Bombyx mori: one gene and its partner. Each later gene encodes a partner of the first gene's protein in a complex. Links are inferred from orthologs where the notes say so. Each region holds a gene or a part of one and is shown on either strand. Other genes may lie near its edges. The genes, in order: peregrin and chromatin modification-related protein MEAF6.

Region 1 (6,872 bases):
ATGTCGCATCTCTTATACACAGCATACCCTATTACAAGAGCAATCTGATTTAAGGATGAAAAATGAAGAAAGCCGCAATACTACAGATCGAAAAAGAAGTTTCACTTAATTCGCGTGCAACTTGTTGCACTGGTTTTTTTTAATAATGACTGATGTATATGTCCGATGATTTGCAAGCGAAGTAAATTGTCTCTTCGTAATAAGGTGACACTACAAAACTTGCATACGCCCCGTCAAGACCTATGCAAGTGTAGTGTTCACTCACGCGGCCCGCACTAACTTGAAACCCCTCCAAATCATACAATCCCGTTTTTGCAGGATAGCCACCGGAGCCATGTGGTTCATCAGAAACGTGGACCTCCACGATGACATGGGCCTAGAGTCCATCAGTAAGTATCTACAGTCGGCATCAGTGTGCCCTTTCAGAAAAGCGGCACGACACGAGAACCCTCCCATTATGGCCGCCGCCCGCCGGTAGCTACATTCCTGATCCTGCGGACCGAATGGTAAACAGTCGATGTCGCCCGAAACACGTCATTTCGGATCCTTTCGATCCACTAACGATGCTTTTAGGTACCTCAAGTACCGGTCATCATTCTCGTCAAGCCCTTCGCTTGCGACGAAGGGCTCGGCGAGTAAATTAACCCACAGACACAGCCCACTGAGTTTCTCGGTGGATCTTCTCAGTGGGTCGCGTTTCCGATCCGATGGTAGATTTTGCGAAGCACTGCTCCTGCTAGGGTTAGTGTTAGCAACGATGTCAGGTTTGAGCCCAGTCAGCTCACCTACTTGTTAGGGTTACGCTGAAATAGCCTCTCAAGGCTATCAGCTTAGGTAGGAAAAAAAAAGATTTCGAAGTCAATTACTTATTTTTACATATTTTTTAATTTACTGACAACCCTACTCATACTTGATCGTGCTTCCTTGTGATGTGCACCACGTTAGTAAAATGGAAAATATTCTTAGTAATAACAATAAGAATATCGATAAAGATTTTTACGTTTCGTTACCTAGAGTACGATCGCTGTCGGTGCTGGCGGCGCGGGACCGCGCGGCGAGGTGGCGGAGTCCCGCGGCCGCCACGTCGCGGCGCGCCTGACGGAATACCGGCGCGCATTGCTCGCGCATCTTCACACCGGCCCTGGAAACAAAAGCGCGATCGTTTTAAAATTACTATCCGTTTACACCAACCAGTCTTTCCCAAAGTGGGCGATAACGCCCCTGTTGCGTCTATTTCTTAAGAGGTCTCTTGAGGTGGCCAAGAAAATGAATAAATGCGTTTAACTTCTTCAAATACTCATTATATTATTTTTAATTATTTTACAAAATAGAATTGACATGCGCGTCCATCTTTTTTCTTCGTGTATTTTTTTTTTTAATTTTGACAATTGGTGCCTCTATTGCGTTTCCTGATTTGTGATTGGTTCGTGCGATATGACGTCATCGTTAGCCAATCACAGCCATCAATGTTTTTTTTTTTTTTTTTATGATTGAAAGTTTACTGGTGGCCCGAAGGCCTTTCCAGTTTCACCAGGACAGGTGGGCGAGCAAAGGCTCAGCCAAGAGGGGTGGGATTTGCTAACAACTGCCCGAGCGCCTCCGAAGGAGACCTAACAACTCAAGAGCAATTGTTTCGCGAATGAATCTACTACCGGATCGGAATCGCGACCCGCTGAGAAGATCCGGCGAGAAACTCAGCGGGCTGATGCATGGGTTAGGTTGCACGTCGACCTCTTTGTCGAGTTCGACGAGTACGGTTACCGGGGTCCCTAAGCCTGCCCCTAGTATTAGAGCTGAAGGCATCTAATGCAAAGGTTATTGGATCTGATGGATCCGTAAGGACGTGTCTAGGGCGTCGACGGTGACTGGCTCCTGCATGATCAGGATTCGGGGAGTAGTCAGCGGCGGCAACGATAAGGCGATTATCATGACGCATAGCAGCCATCAATGTATGACGCGACGTTGATTCGTTAACAGCCCCCTTGTGGGCGCCGCAGGCCTAAGGGGGGGCGGTAAGAGACCCAAAAAAATGGGGGCGTTGTTTAGAGGCTTGGAAAGCTACTTGTTATTTTATATTTATATATTTGAAAAAATGGAGGCGCTAAAAAAATAATTTATTCTCAAAGTGGGCAGTAGACAAAATAAGTTTGGGAGCCCCTGGTTTACACAGTACATGACATCGATCTTCAATTTTTATTGCATTTACAGTTCACTATTTTGGCGATGATGGCTTATACATAAAATATAGATATATGCTGTCGCGAGCTTTTTGTAGAACTATTTAAGATAAACATTTCCATAGTATACATCTAACTCCAACGGTTTTTGCGGCGCACACCAGAATAGTTCGCAAATGGCTGATTTTTTTTTCCTACTTACTGACACTTATCGTTATTTTTTTGGGTAATTCACACTATATCTTTATAAATTATAACCTGTGTGTTATTCTGGTGTGTAAGTTATATTATTGTATGGTTTCCTCAAAATCCATTCAGTAGTTTTTGCGTGAACGAGTAACAAAGATACATCCATACATTCTTACAAACTTGCACGTTTATAATATTAGTAGGATAATTGTAAATTGCCCCAAGTTAGTCATCTACTATTTAGAGCAGTTTAAAATTTCTTTATGAATCACGTGACACATTTTTTTATAATTCGATTTCCAACGCTTGAGGCCTGTGTCACTAAAATTGCATGAATACTCTTCGGAGCACTACCATCATGGTTTTTTAAAAATCTAATCCAGTTTATACGACGCGAATTTACTATAATCGTTAAAGTCAAAGTCGTTTGAAGTCGTAGTGGCCTATAGGATAAGACGTCCGTTGCATTCTTTTTTAATAAATAAATAATAAATAAATAAATATTTACTAACAATCACGCCACGTTAACCGGCCCCGTGATAAGTTCGTAAAGACTTGTGTTACAGGTACCAGATAACGGAAATAAATGTAAGATTTTTATTATACACATATGTACATATATTTAATATACATCCATAACCCTGGAAAAGACATTTATATTTATCATACAAATATCTTCCCTTGGCGGGATTCGAACCCGCGACCCCCTTGTGTAGTGACCATGTCACTTACCACTACACCAGACGGCCGTTAAATTCGTCGTTGAGCGATGCACTGGTGTTCGATTCCCAGGCGGATACCAATTTTTCTAATGAAATACGTTCTCAACAAATGTTCACGATTGACTTCCACGGTGAAGGAATAACATCGCGTTATAAAAATCAAACCCGCAAAATTATAATTTGCGTAATTACTGGTGGTAGGACCTCTTGTGAGTCTGCGCGGGTAGGTACCACCAGGTTTGAAGGGTGGGGCAGCCGTTGTAACTATACTTAAGACCTTTAGGACTTACATCTCAAGGTGGGTGGCGCATTTATGTTGTAGACGCCTATGGGCTCCAGTAACCACTTAACATCAGGAGGGCTGTGAGCTCATCCACCCATCTAAGCAATAAAAAAAGTCAGTTTAGCATATCTGGTTAGTATAGCGGCTCACTTGTAAAACACTGTATCTTTATTGTTATACGCGAGACAATTGTCTATCATCAGTTTGAAGTCGTCTTCGATGTCATCAATGTTCTTGTAAGCGCCGCGGTCCAGCTTCTTCTCCATCGTGCTCAGGTCCATGGGGTGTTTCACTATTGTACTGTAGTCTGGTACCTATGCAAAAACGATCTTTATGTTAACTCAGTTTAAGACGCATATTCGTTAAACAACTCATTTAGGGTATTTTATTTAAAAAAAAAAAACTTTCTTTTATGAAATTCTGTTACATTAATACTTATATGAAGACACTGTCCTACCACCAGTAAGAATTTCCTCCTCCTTCTCCTATACTTGAGACCTTAGAACTTATATCTCAAGGTGGGTGGCGCATTTACGTCGTAGATGTCTATGGGCTCCAGTAACCAATTAACACCAGGTGAGCTATGAGCTTGTCCACCCACTTAAGAAATAAATAACTTAACTAAAATAGTACTTAACCCTTGTCTTTATATATTTTCTATATATATATTTTCTAAATTTCTTTTTTCTATACTATACTACATAACTTGAACTATCAATTCAGGGCAACCTCGACATATGTGCGAATCAATGTAATGCAAATAAAATTAATAAAACGATAATAATGGCTTGAACGCAAATTCTTAGTGCGTATACAAAATTCAAAATCGGTATGCTCTTATTAACTTTGTACCCTATTTTCTAAAAAATTCCAAGGGTCAACATTTCGAAGGAATATATATATGGGCGTGCCCTGATAGCCTTATCACGACGAACCGGTAGGCAGCGGCTTGGCTCTGGCCCTGGCATTGCTGAAGTCCATGGGCGACGGTAACCACTCAACATCAGGTGGGCCGTTTGCCCGTCTGCCTACTAGGGCAATAAAAAAAAATAAAAAAAGACCCAGGCACAAGTTACCTCTTGCAAGTCGACCGGCTCCGTGAATATATCGCTGGAGTCCTTCTGGCGCAACAAGCGCAGCAGCTTGTGGAGCACGGCCCGCTCGGGTCGCAGCGAGTGAAGGAAGCAGCGCTCCCACACGCGGGTGTACTCCGCCTTCAGACGCTCGCGTTTACGTACCAGCTCACACAGCAATCTATGCAAAACATTACCGACTCTATGTTACTGTTACATAGACAATCTATCTAAGGACTTTTGGCGGGAACGCGAGGAGTGAAATTGTGTGATTTGTTTTATTTTTAGCCGACTTCAAAAAAGAAGGAGGTTCTCAATTTGACTGTACGTTTTTTTTTATTTTATGTTTGTTATCTCATAACTTTTGACTGGGTGAATTGATTTTGATGATACCTCTGTGGGAATATTAAATTTATCTTTTATCTTTATAATGATTGCATCCGTTTATTGGTTTTCAATTATGGAGATGTTAACCGAATTTCAGACGTTAACGCAGCCTCCATTCGATCCGGAACGCATAGGTGTGTCACGATAAAAATCAACGAAATAGTGGTACCACTACCACACAAAAACAGACGTGGCGGATTTGGTTTTTATTCCACGCTGTTATTGCTTAATTAAAAATTTTTAGTCCCGTCATGTTTGAATCAATCGATACGAACGCTTCAAATAATTTGAATTAGTTATTTTTTTTTTATTATTATTATTGTCAAGCTCTCGAAAATGTATGTAACCAATAAAAGTTAAAATAAAACCCTTAAAAATCACCTTGCGCGTTCCAAATCTTGTCGTATTCTCTGCCAATACTTCAACTGATTACACAGCTCTCGTACATTGACAGCTGCGTCTTGTATGCCTCTACTGCCTGTAAATAATAATAGAATTTAAAAAAAAATAGGCTAGTCATATTGGTTCAAAAACTGAAGAAATACAACGTGGTATAAATCTATATAAGTATTTATAGGTTTATTGATCATAGGTTTATTGATCTTATTGGTTTGTTTATCTTTTTTGGGTTGCAAAAGCATAAGATTGTGATGAAAAATTTTGCAATTGTCTCAAGGTACTATAACTAACGCGAGAGTAGTCTTGAGAGATCCATAGCTAGCCACAGCGAAGCGTAAAGTGGTTTAGCTGGTCTATACTAATATTATAAAGCTGAAGAGTTTGTTTGTTTGAACGCGCTAATCTCAGGAACTATTGGTCCGATTTGAAAAATTCTTTCAGTGTTAGATAGCCCATTTATCGAGGACGGCTATAGACTATATACCATCATGCTAAGACCAATACAAGCGGAGCACCAATAAAGAATATTTCAAAATCGGGTTTTTTTCCCTTTTGAAAGTATCCGCCGCGTGCGCTGCAGAAAAGGTTAAAGTTTTGCTAAAATAATGTATGACAGAATTGTTCCCCTTAAAAAGGTCTAAAAAAAGTCCGCCATAGCATACCTATGTCTATATGTTAAGGTTGGCTGACTAAAATGTTTTTTATGCTAACCAAATTTGTTCTAAAATAAAGCATTATTTGTGAGCTATTCCACGCGGACAAAGTCGCGGGTAAAAGCTAGTACATATATAAATATATGAAAACTCACCATGATTGGTCGTCAAGCTCTGCAGTCTCCTCAACAGCGGCACACCGTTCCTGCTGTGCCGTTTCAGGGTCCAGTAAGCGAGGAGTCGCTTCATGAGCTGGGCCCTGGCGGCGGGCGGACCCTGGGCCAACTGGGCCACGTCCGCCACGCGCTCGGCCGGCAAAGTCGGTACTAACACGACCGGGGCCCAAGTTCGTTTCATTGCTAACACGCGACGTGCCTACGGTTAAAATTATAAACATTAGTTTTTACTGATGGTAGGACCTCTTGTGAGTCCGCACGGGTAGGTACCACCACCCTGCCTATTTCTACTGAATTTCTATTGGAGCAGTATTGCGTTTCGGTTTGAAGGGTGGGGCAGCCATTGCAAGTATACTGCGACCTTAGAGCTTATATCTCAAGGTTGGTGGCGCATTTTACGTTGTAGATGTCTATGGGCTCCAGTAACCACTTAACACCAGGTGGGCTGTGAGCTCGTCCACCCATCTAAGCAATACAAGCAAAAGCAGCAATACAAGCAATACAAGCAAAGCAAAAGCAAAATAAGCAAATACAATTCAAATGGTTCAAGTCATTGAGGATTCGGTCAATGAAAGTAAAATAAATGAAGGAAATCTTGGTTATTATGTACATGATAATTTTTTTACTAGTGGTTAGGACCTTTTGTGAGTCCGCGCGGGTAGGTACCACCACCCTGCTTATTTCTGCCGTGAAGCAGTAATCCGTTTCGGCTTAAAGAGTGGGGCAGCCGATGTAACTATACTGAGATCTTAGAACTTATATCTCAAGGTGGGTGGCGCATTTACGTTGTAGATGTATGGACTCCAGTAACCG
Region 2 (7,546 bases), on another chromosome or scaffold:
ATCTGTTCAGTAATTTTTGAATGAAGAGTGAAAATACTTACAAAACTTCCTATTTATAAGTAAGGATTACTTATTTAATTAAAGAGTTTTGTAGGTGGCAAACTATCTAAAAACTTTCTATTTTCCACCAAGTTGACATCAATTATCCTTCCTGCATATATATTTATTGTATTGTTTTTTTTATAGTCTAACAAGGGGTGATATTACATTTGCAATTTCTGGGAGTTTGTTGAAAAATATATTGCTTGCTTGACTTACAGATAAATCGAAATCATCAGCCAATTGAGAGAATGTTCTATTTAATGTTATTCTCATCAGACATAATATAATATTTTGTTCAGAAACATTTGTATGTTTCTCAATCAAGCCTATTATGAAACATAATTCTTGTGGAAGACCAATATATAAACGTTGTTTATTTTTCACTTTAGATAAAGTTGTTAACACATTCATTTTTTCAACTTTTTAGTCTTCTTGAGAGCTATAGTCTGAAGTGCACAAGTCTTTGATGGAGTGGAGATATAGAGAGATAACTCATAGTCAACAGTTGATCCTTCTGTTGCTGGTGCATTTGACTCATCACTGTCAAATTTGTCCTCAGGAACAACAGTTTTTTTTTTGCTGGTTCTGATTGTTTACTTATACTTGCTTCAGATATATTAAGGGGTGATGTGGCAATACACACTTGCCTTGCCTTTGTGTTCCTGTGCTGGAGCTACTTGGATAGCTTTGTCATTACTACACCTATTTTCAAGTGGCTGGACATCTGGAAATATGAAATAATGTTAGCAATTTCCAACAAACGTATAGTTTGTAAATATATAGGATTATATGTGTACTGTCGTAGTAGTAGTAGTAGTATTTAACTTCCTAGTCATCATCATCAGCCCATATAATATATCCCCTTGCTGGACACTGGCCTTCACTACCATTGAGAGGGTTTTTAGGCCTTAGTCCACCACGCTGGCCTAGTGCTGGTTGGTGGATTACACACCTAAGAAAATCCTAAGAACATTTAGGTGTGCAGGTTTCATCACAATGTTTTCCTTCACTGTTAAAGTAAGTAAGTGATATTACACTGTGATAAATTTTCATTTTCACAAACTTCCTAGTACCTTATGTAATAGGAACTGAGATCCACTTGCCCATTTTGGCTACTTCCACTAACTAACTAACTATTCTCATTTTTTCTGATATTGTTATTTGATTAGGAGATCTGTGAGTGTAACTAATTATTGACAGTTACACCTACCTTGACTACAAGATGGCAAAGGTATAATAATACGACACATCTCATTTTTAGTCGTCTCTTCAATTTCCTTGATAATAGTGAGTCTTTGCCGTTTCACAAATGCAGGCCGAGGTTCACTATGATTGAATTTTCGTTTTCTATCTGCCCGACAATCGAATTTGGATGGTAAACAGTTTGGTTTCATTCGAATTCATTTGATGGAGCTCATTATCTTGTATTGCATATAATTCTCCATGTAGTTTTCCAGCTAAAACATGAAATAATTTTCCAACAATTTCAATACATAACCTATAAAAAAAATATTAAAATGTTATTTTACTAATGTTAGGAATATAATTTCGACTGTGTCAAAATGTTATTATAATGTATACCTACATTATCTCTTGAAAGATAAATAATGAACATATTTACTTATTTGTTTATATTACCTATGTGAACTCTTAACCTATCTTTTTTATACCTTCATAGCGATAGGTATATAGGAGGATGGAAAAAATGTATTTGGTCTAACTTTACGCGAATGCACATTATTTTATTTATTTTGTTTTTAATTTTTTTAATTAAACTGTATACCAATTAATTGATCCTTCAGGATTTATAATTGTTTTTTTTTCACGATTAAAACCGCGTAGAAAGTTTAGGCATTATAGTCACTGAGCAAGTAATCACTACGTTGACGCATGCGCCATAGATTATACACTTATGGCATGCGCAGTACACATATTTTGTATACATTTATTCAACTAATACAATTAATTAAACAAAAAATGAGTAATTTCGAAAGAGAACAAACGTATTTTATATAAGAACAATCGAAAATGAATATTTACGAGTAATTAAGGACGAAAAAATATTAAAAATTGCAATCGAGGGGCTAACTTTTAGATATATTTTTAATAATTTTTTTTAAATAAATAAATGGGGAACAAACAATTATTGACAATGAACAATCAAGAACAAATGATGAACAAACGAATTAATAGAAAATAAGTAGAAAACAGGAAAAAAAAATTTTTTTGAGGGGCTAACTTCATTCACCTCCATGGAGTACTTATTATATATCTACTTTTTTTTTATTTTATGACCTGGTAACAGAGACCTTTAGGTCATATCTTATTTGAAAAATGTGCATTACTTTGGGGTCACTACACTTCACTTCAATAAATTTTGTCATTTACATTATTTGAATTATATTTTTCATATAATTATAAATAGGTTTATCGGATGTTGGATCTTTTAGTAAAAAGTGGCGGCGGGCGAGAGGAAGAAACACATTTAATGCATTGGTATCCTCACTAGCCAGCACAAGTCTGAAATATGAAACTTTGGCAATCGAAAATAATGTGATGGATCGTCCCTTCCTTTGCTTGACAGTGTAAACATTGGTTGTTTGAAACAATGCCAAGTCCTGCTAGGTGTGACGGCGCAGTATTATGGCCAAAACTCAATCTGTTTATTGTTGTAATGAAATCTCGACTCTCACTAGTTTTCAATTTGTCATTCTTTTTGTATGGCAATTAACTTTATACGAAGCCTTTGTTTACAGTCTCGAAGTATTAAAAATCTTCAATCATTACATACTCTCATATAGATTCTGAAATTTGAAAAATGAAATGAAGCGAAATTAGATGAAGTTGATTTCTTTTAGACTTTAACCAATTGGGATGAAATCAAATGAAACCGGATGAAATAAAGTCACGGTAAAATGGAGGTTATTTACCGAGACTTTGTGAATTTTCTGGAAGAACCGAGAAGCTACGTTCAGCGGCTTTGTTTCATTTTTCCACATCTATGCACTTTCACAGATATTAAACAATTAATAAACCACCGTTATTACATATTTAAACCCAAAGAAACACTAAATAGACAAAATAAAACAAATCACACAACTTCACTTCCCGCCAAAAAGACGTTTAAGTAATACCGTACTTGTGTGCCTTTACACAGATATTTTTTCTCTTAGTTTTATCCTCGAAAAAGTCCACTAAAAAATCTCAGTGAACGACCACCATTTTACTGAGATTATATTTCATCCCATATCATCTCATCTCATTTCATTTAATTTCATCCCAGTTAATTAATGTCTCAAATCAATCAACTCCATTTTATTTTATTTCACTCCATATTATCATTTTTCATAAAAATAAGAATATAAATTAAAATAAGACATGATCTTAAGGTCTGAGTTACCAGGTCAGAAAATCCCATAAAAAAATTGAGTATACAAATTACAATAATCTGTGGAAGACAAGGCTTTATGTGCTTAGATCCCTTGCCTTTCTTAAAAGGAAAAATTGATTAAAATTGTATCAAAAAAATCTGTGGAATTTAAGGCAACAATTGCTAGAATAATAATTTGCGTTTTTGGAAATAAGTGGCACATTTCTGTTCAGAAAAAATACGCCTGTCTTAAGTGATCTGTTATGGAATTATAAAACACAAGTAACAACAATCATCAGCATGGTTATTTCACCACAAAGCCCCATTGATGACGCTCAAAGTGTGCAAACCAAAAGAACCAACATGGCTACTAAACAATCTTCAGTAGCCGATACTAGAGCTGAACTAGCTGAATTGGTCAAACGGAAAGCTGAAGTAGCTGTAAGTAGACATAATGACAGTCCTTTTGAGCATTTAATCTACCCTTCCTAATGAAAATGTTTACAGGAAACTTTAGCGAACTTGGAACGTCAGATTTATGCATTTGAGGGATCATATCTGGAAGATACTCAATTGTATGGAAATATAATTAGAGGATGGGATAGATACCTCACAACGAACAAAAGCACTAATTCCAAAGCTGACAAACGTAACAGAAAGTTCAAAGAAGCAGAAAGATTGTTTTCTAAATCTAGTATTACGTCTATGGCTGTAAGTTAATCTTTAAGTGAATTATTCTGTTTTATAACGTCTTAAAATACGATAACATAAATCCATTAAATTATTTCAGGCTGTTAGTGGACTTGTAGATGCTGCTGAAGCTAAAAGTAAGGATATTGAAACTGAAAATAATCAACTCACGACCGAAATATATTTTATTTTTTATAACAATTCCTTATTTCAGATGAAAGAAATAGTGAAACTGAATCGCAAACTAATGAAGACTCTTCAGACACACAGATTAGTTCAAATCTCAATCTTGGAGGTCTTAACCATACGACAATTCATGGTTCCACTGAAAGCATTGCTTCTAAGCCATCTGGGAAACAAAATACTAATGGAACATTAGATAAAACATTAACTAGTGCTCAAACAAAACAAACAGCTACACAAAAAATAGCTACTGCATCTGGCATGCTCCAGAAGGCATTTAGTAGTGAAAGTAAAATATTATCAGGAATGGGACTTGATAGTCGACCTGGCACACCAAAAGAAAAGGAATCTAATGTAAACATTATTAATAAAGTTGATTTAACACCAAACTCACTAAAACACAAAATGTCTAGTAGCGGAAGCAGTAGTAGCGGCAGCATCAAAAAGAACAACAAGAAAGCTAGGCACAGGTGAACATTATGCACTCTATCATGTTAATGGCAGATTTTAGTAGGTGCTAGTCTGAAGATTTATGCTGGGTGTAAGGAAACCATTCCCATACTGAAATATTAATATGATACAAATACAGTACATACATAAACATAGTGCAGATATTTAAACTTAATGCGAACAGTATATTGACTCTTCAAAAGCAAACGTGACTAAGCGACAATAACTGCTTTATACTTAAATGATAGGCAATAACCATATTCAATGCGCAAAAAAAAAATTACTTCTAGGTCTATTATAATCATTTCAATCATACAGCTAGATTTGTTAAAATATATTTTTTTTCAGGTATTTCAACTTTAAATTAGTCTACTGTAAAGTTCATGCATTGTCGCTTAGTCACGTTTGCCTTTCAAGTGTTGATATATTCTAATTCTGCATTAAAAATTCGAAAAAAACATAACTTTACCATTTGTCCCATATATCATTATTAAGTTATATATTATAAATGAGTCGTCTATTATCAAAGGCGGCAATCTGTACATTTGGACAAAATTTTTTTATTGATATGTCAATACAGATTTATTTGAATATAATCGTCTCCTTCAAAGAATACGGTTCAAAACCTGCATTAAATAAAGGTTAATAGTTAACCTGTTATTTATCTAAGATGTCGTTCCGAAGAGTTTTGTGACTGCCAATGGAATACAAAGTCAATAATTCGTTTTTCTGATTTACCAATCATTGTCCAAAAGTCAGATTGCCGCCTTTGATAATAGTCGACTCAAATGTCATTTAATGTTACTAAGAGCAATGTTGTAAAGTGTAATTTAATGTTTTTTGTAATAGTTCTCAACACTCCTTGTAGCAATGAAACAATATGTATTCTTTTTAACTAATGTTATTGTATAAAAATAAATAATGAATTGTTGATTTACATAAAAATATTGTGACCTAATTGATACCATTAACTGTTCTTAATATCCTTTGTTTGAATCTTGATTCTGAAATTATGTTTTGTTTGTATTAGTAAAATTATACCAAACAGGACATGATAAATAGATATTAAATGAGAAACTGATACATACGCTTTAAAATATTAGGTAAGTCCTTAATTGGTCCACAATATTTCACCATAATATAATACAAAACTGGTAAGCATGCAATAATTCCAGAACAACACAAAAATATTATTTCTGGAGACTTTCTCAATTTACAACAGTTTAGGCTTTTGCTCCATATTGATCTAGTTGCATTCATCTGAAATGATAAGGTAAATCATTATATTTTTAGTTTATTTTTTTGAAGTTGAGTCTTTATATGAGAAATCTCAGTATTCTCTATCAAATCTAATATTTTATTGCATAAATGTGTTAGCAAGCTCGTATTATAACCAGTAACAATAGATATCACAATGTGCACGCTGGCACCTGGCAAATGTGAGGCTTTTGTATTGTGATTGTATGATATAATTATTGTCCTATCCTTCCAAAACACAACACATTACTGCTCCTTGCCAGAAACAGGCACGGTGCTTGTAGTAGGCACTGTAGGTTTTGCATGTTCCCAAAAACTTTACCACTATTTATATTTCTTATTACTATTACTCCATCATAAAAAATGGAAATTGGCCTTTGATGTCAACTATGGCATAGTTTGTTGCATTCATGTGAGTAAATTGGCTGACAATAATTGGTGTTCATTATGACTTATATTTTATGTAAGAAAAAATATTATGCATTATAGACATCTATTTGCATTTGCAAGTAAATTAAAAGAATTACTTGATTACTTCATTGTTACAATTAGTGTACTTACAGAATCAATAACATCCATGCATATAATATCCAGCCCTATTCTGTCAAAACTAAGAGATTCATAATAGTTATTCAGCTGTATGTAGCTCTGCATACAGTTCTCACACACTTTTGTACTATTCTCTTTGGGATTTATATTGTCTTCAATACATTGCATTGTTTCATTAAAAATTTGATAAAAATGGTAAGTTTTATTTGAAATTTCTGGTTTATCTTTAGTCCAGTTAAAACAATCTAAAATGATAAAATAAACATAAACAGACATGTATCTCATGCATTGCATTTAAGGAACCTTACTAGATAGCTCTCACTCTACTTTTATTCAGATACTTATAAAAGAAATAAAAAACAAAAGCATTAAAAGTTTTCACCGGGTAACATAAAATAAGGAAATGTATTTACAAAAAAAAATTGGAAAATCTTTACGTTGGCACAAACAAAATAGTGTCAACCATCTCCACAAGAATGACTTGCTTGAACTTGCAAGTTTTTTAATATACAGAATATATACGTACCATTACAATTTCCTTTGTTCCAAATAGCTAATATGTTATCATGATAATTCAAAACCACCTCTAATCTATCATGAGAAATAAAGATGGTTTCACATGAAGTTCCATTTAAATTGGTTTGAAGTAAATTTTTATAGCTCTCACGAAATTTTACATAATGATCAATACATTTTTCACATAGTCTTATCGGTCTCGCATGTTTGATTGAGCATTTTGTAAAATTAGATGCAGAATCCGCAAATTCATCAAGTAATTTCGTACAAATACTAGGATTCGCAAACAAATACCCCTCACCATTGTATTTTCTGAAAATTATTATTCATGTTACTCGGGCAAACGATAACTATGAAAATTTCCACCCCTAAACATACAATTTATAGCTTGTTACAGGCAATTCCTTTCCATCTCGATAATCTGCAAAATTACCGTGAGCAAACATCACAGCTAAGAAAAAATACACTGTTGTCATAGTTTTTTTTTTA

The links.
Region 2: peregrin (region 1) and chromatin modification-related protein MEAF6 share a complex: the UniProt entries of both Drosophila melanogaster proteins name them as parts of the enok complex. The link is inferred for Bombyx mori from reciprocal best matches to the Drosophila melanogaster genes Br140 and Eaf6.

The regions. Positions count from the first base shown.
Region 1 is NC_085122.1:5,168,462-5,175,333, forward strand, and holds part of peregrin, read right to left. Parts: intron 6,259-6,872; coding exon 6,039-6,258; intron 5,310-6,038; coding exon 5,213-5,309; intron 4,626-5,212; coding exon 4,448-4,625; intron 3,686-4,447; coding exon 3,522-3,685; intron 1,142-3,521; coding exon 1,011-1,141; intron 1-1,010. UniProt on the Drosophila melanogaster protein: Scaffold subunit of the histone acetyltransferase (HAT) Enok complex which has histone H3 acetyltransferase activity.
Region 2 is NC_085128.1:6,602,433-6,609,978, forward strand, and holds chromatin modification-related protein MEAF6, read left to right. Parts: upstream 1-3,514; 5' UTR 3,515-3,712; coding exon 3,713-3,853; intron 3,854-3,919; coding exon 3,920-4,123; intron 4,124-4,202; coding exon 4,203-4,239; intron 4,240-4,316; coding exon 4,317-4,759; 3' UTR 4,760-5,689; coding exon of another isoform or gene 5,690-5,739; 3' UTR 5,740-5,823; coding exon of another isoform or gene 5,824-5,995; 3' UTR 5,996-6,553; downstream 6,554-7,546. Other genes in the region: osteopetrosis-associated transmembrane protein 1, read right to left, coding at 5,690-5,739, 5,824-5,995, 6,554-6,786, 7,068-7,369, 7,436-7,533. UniProt on the Drosophila melanogaster protein: Component of the Enok complex which has a histone H3 acetyltransferase activity. Might be involved in transcriptional activation of selected genes.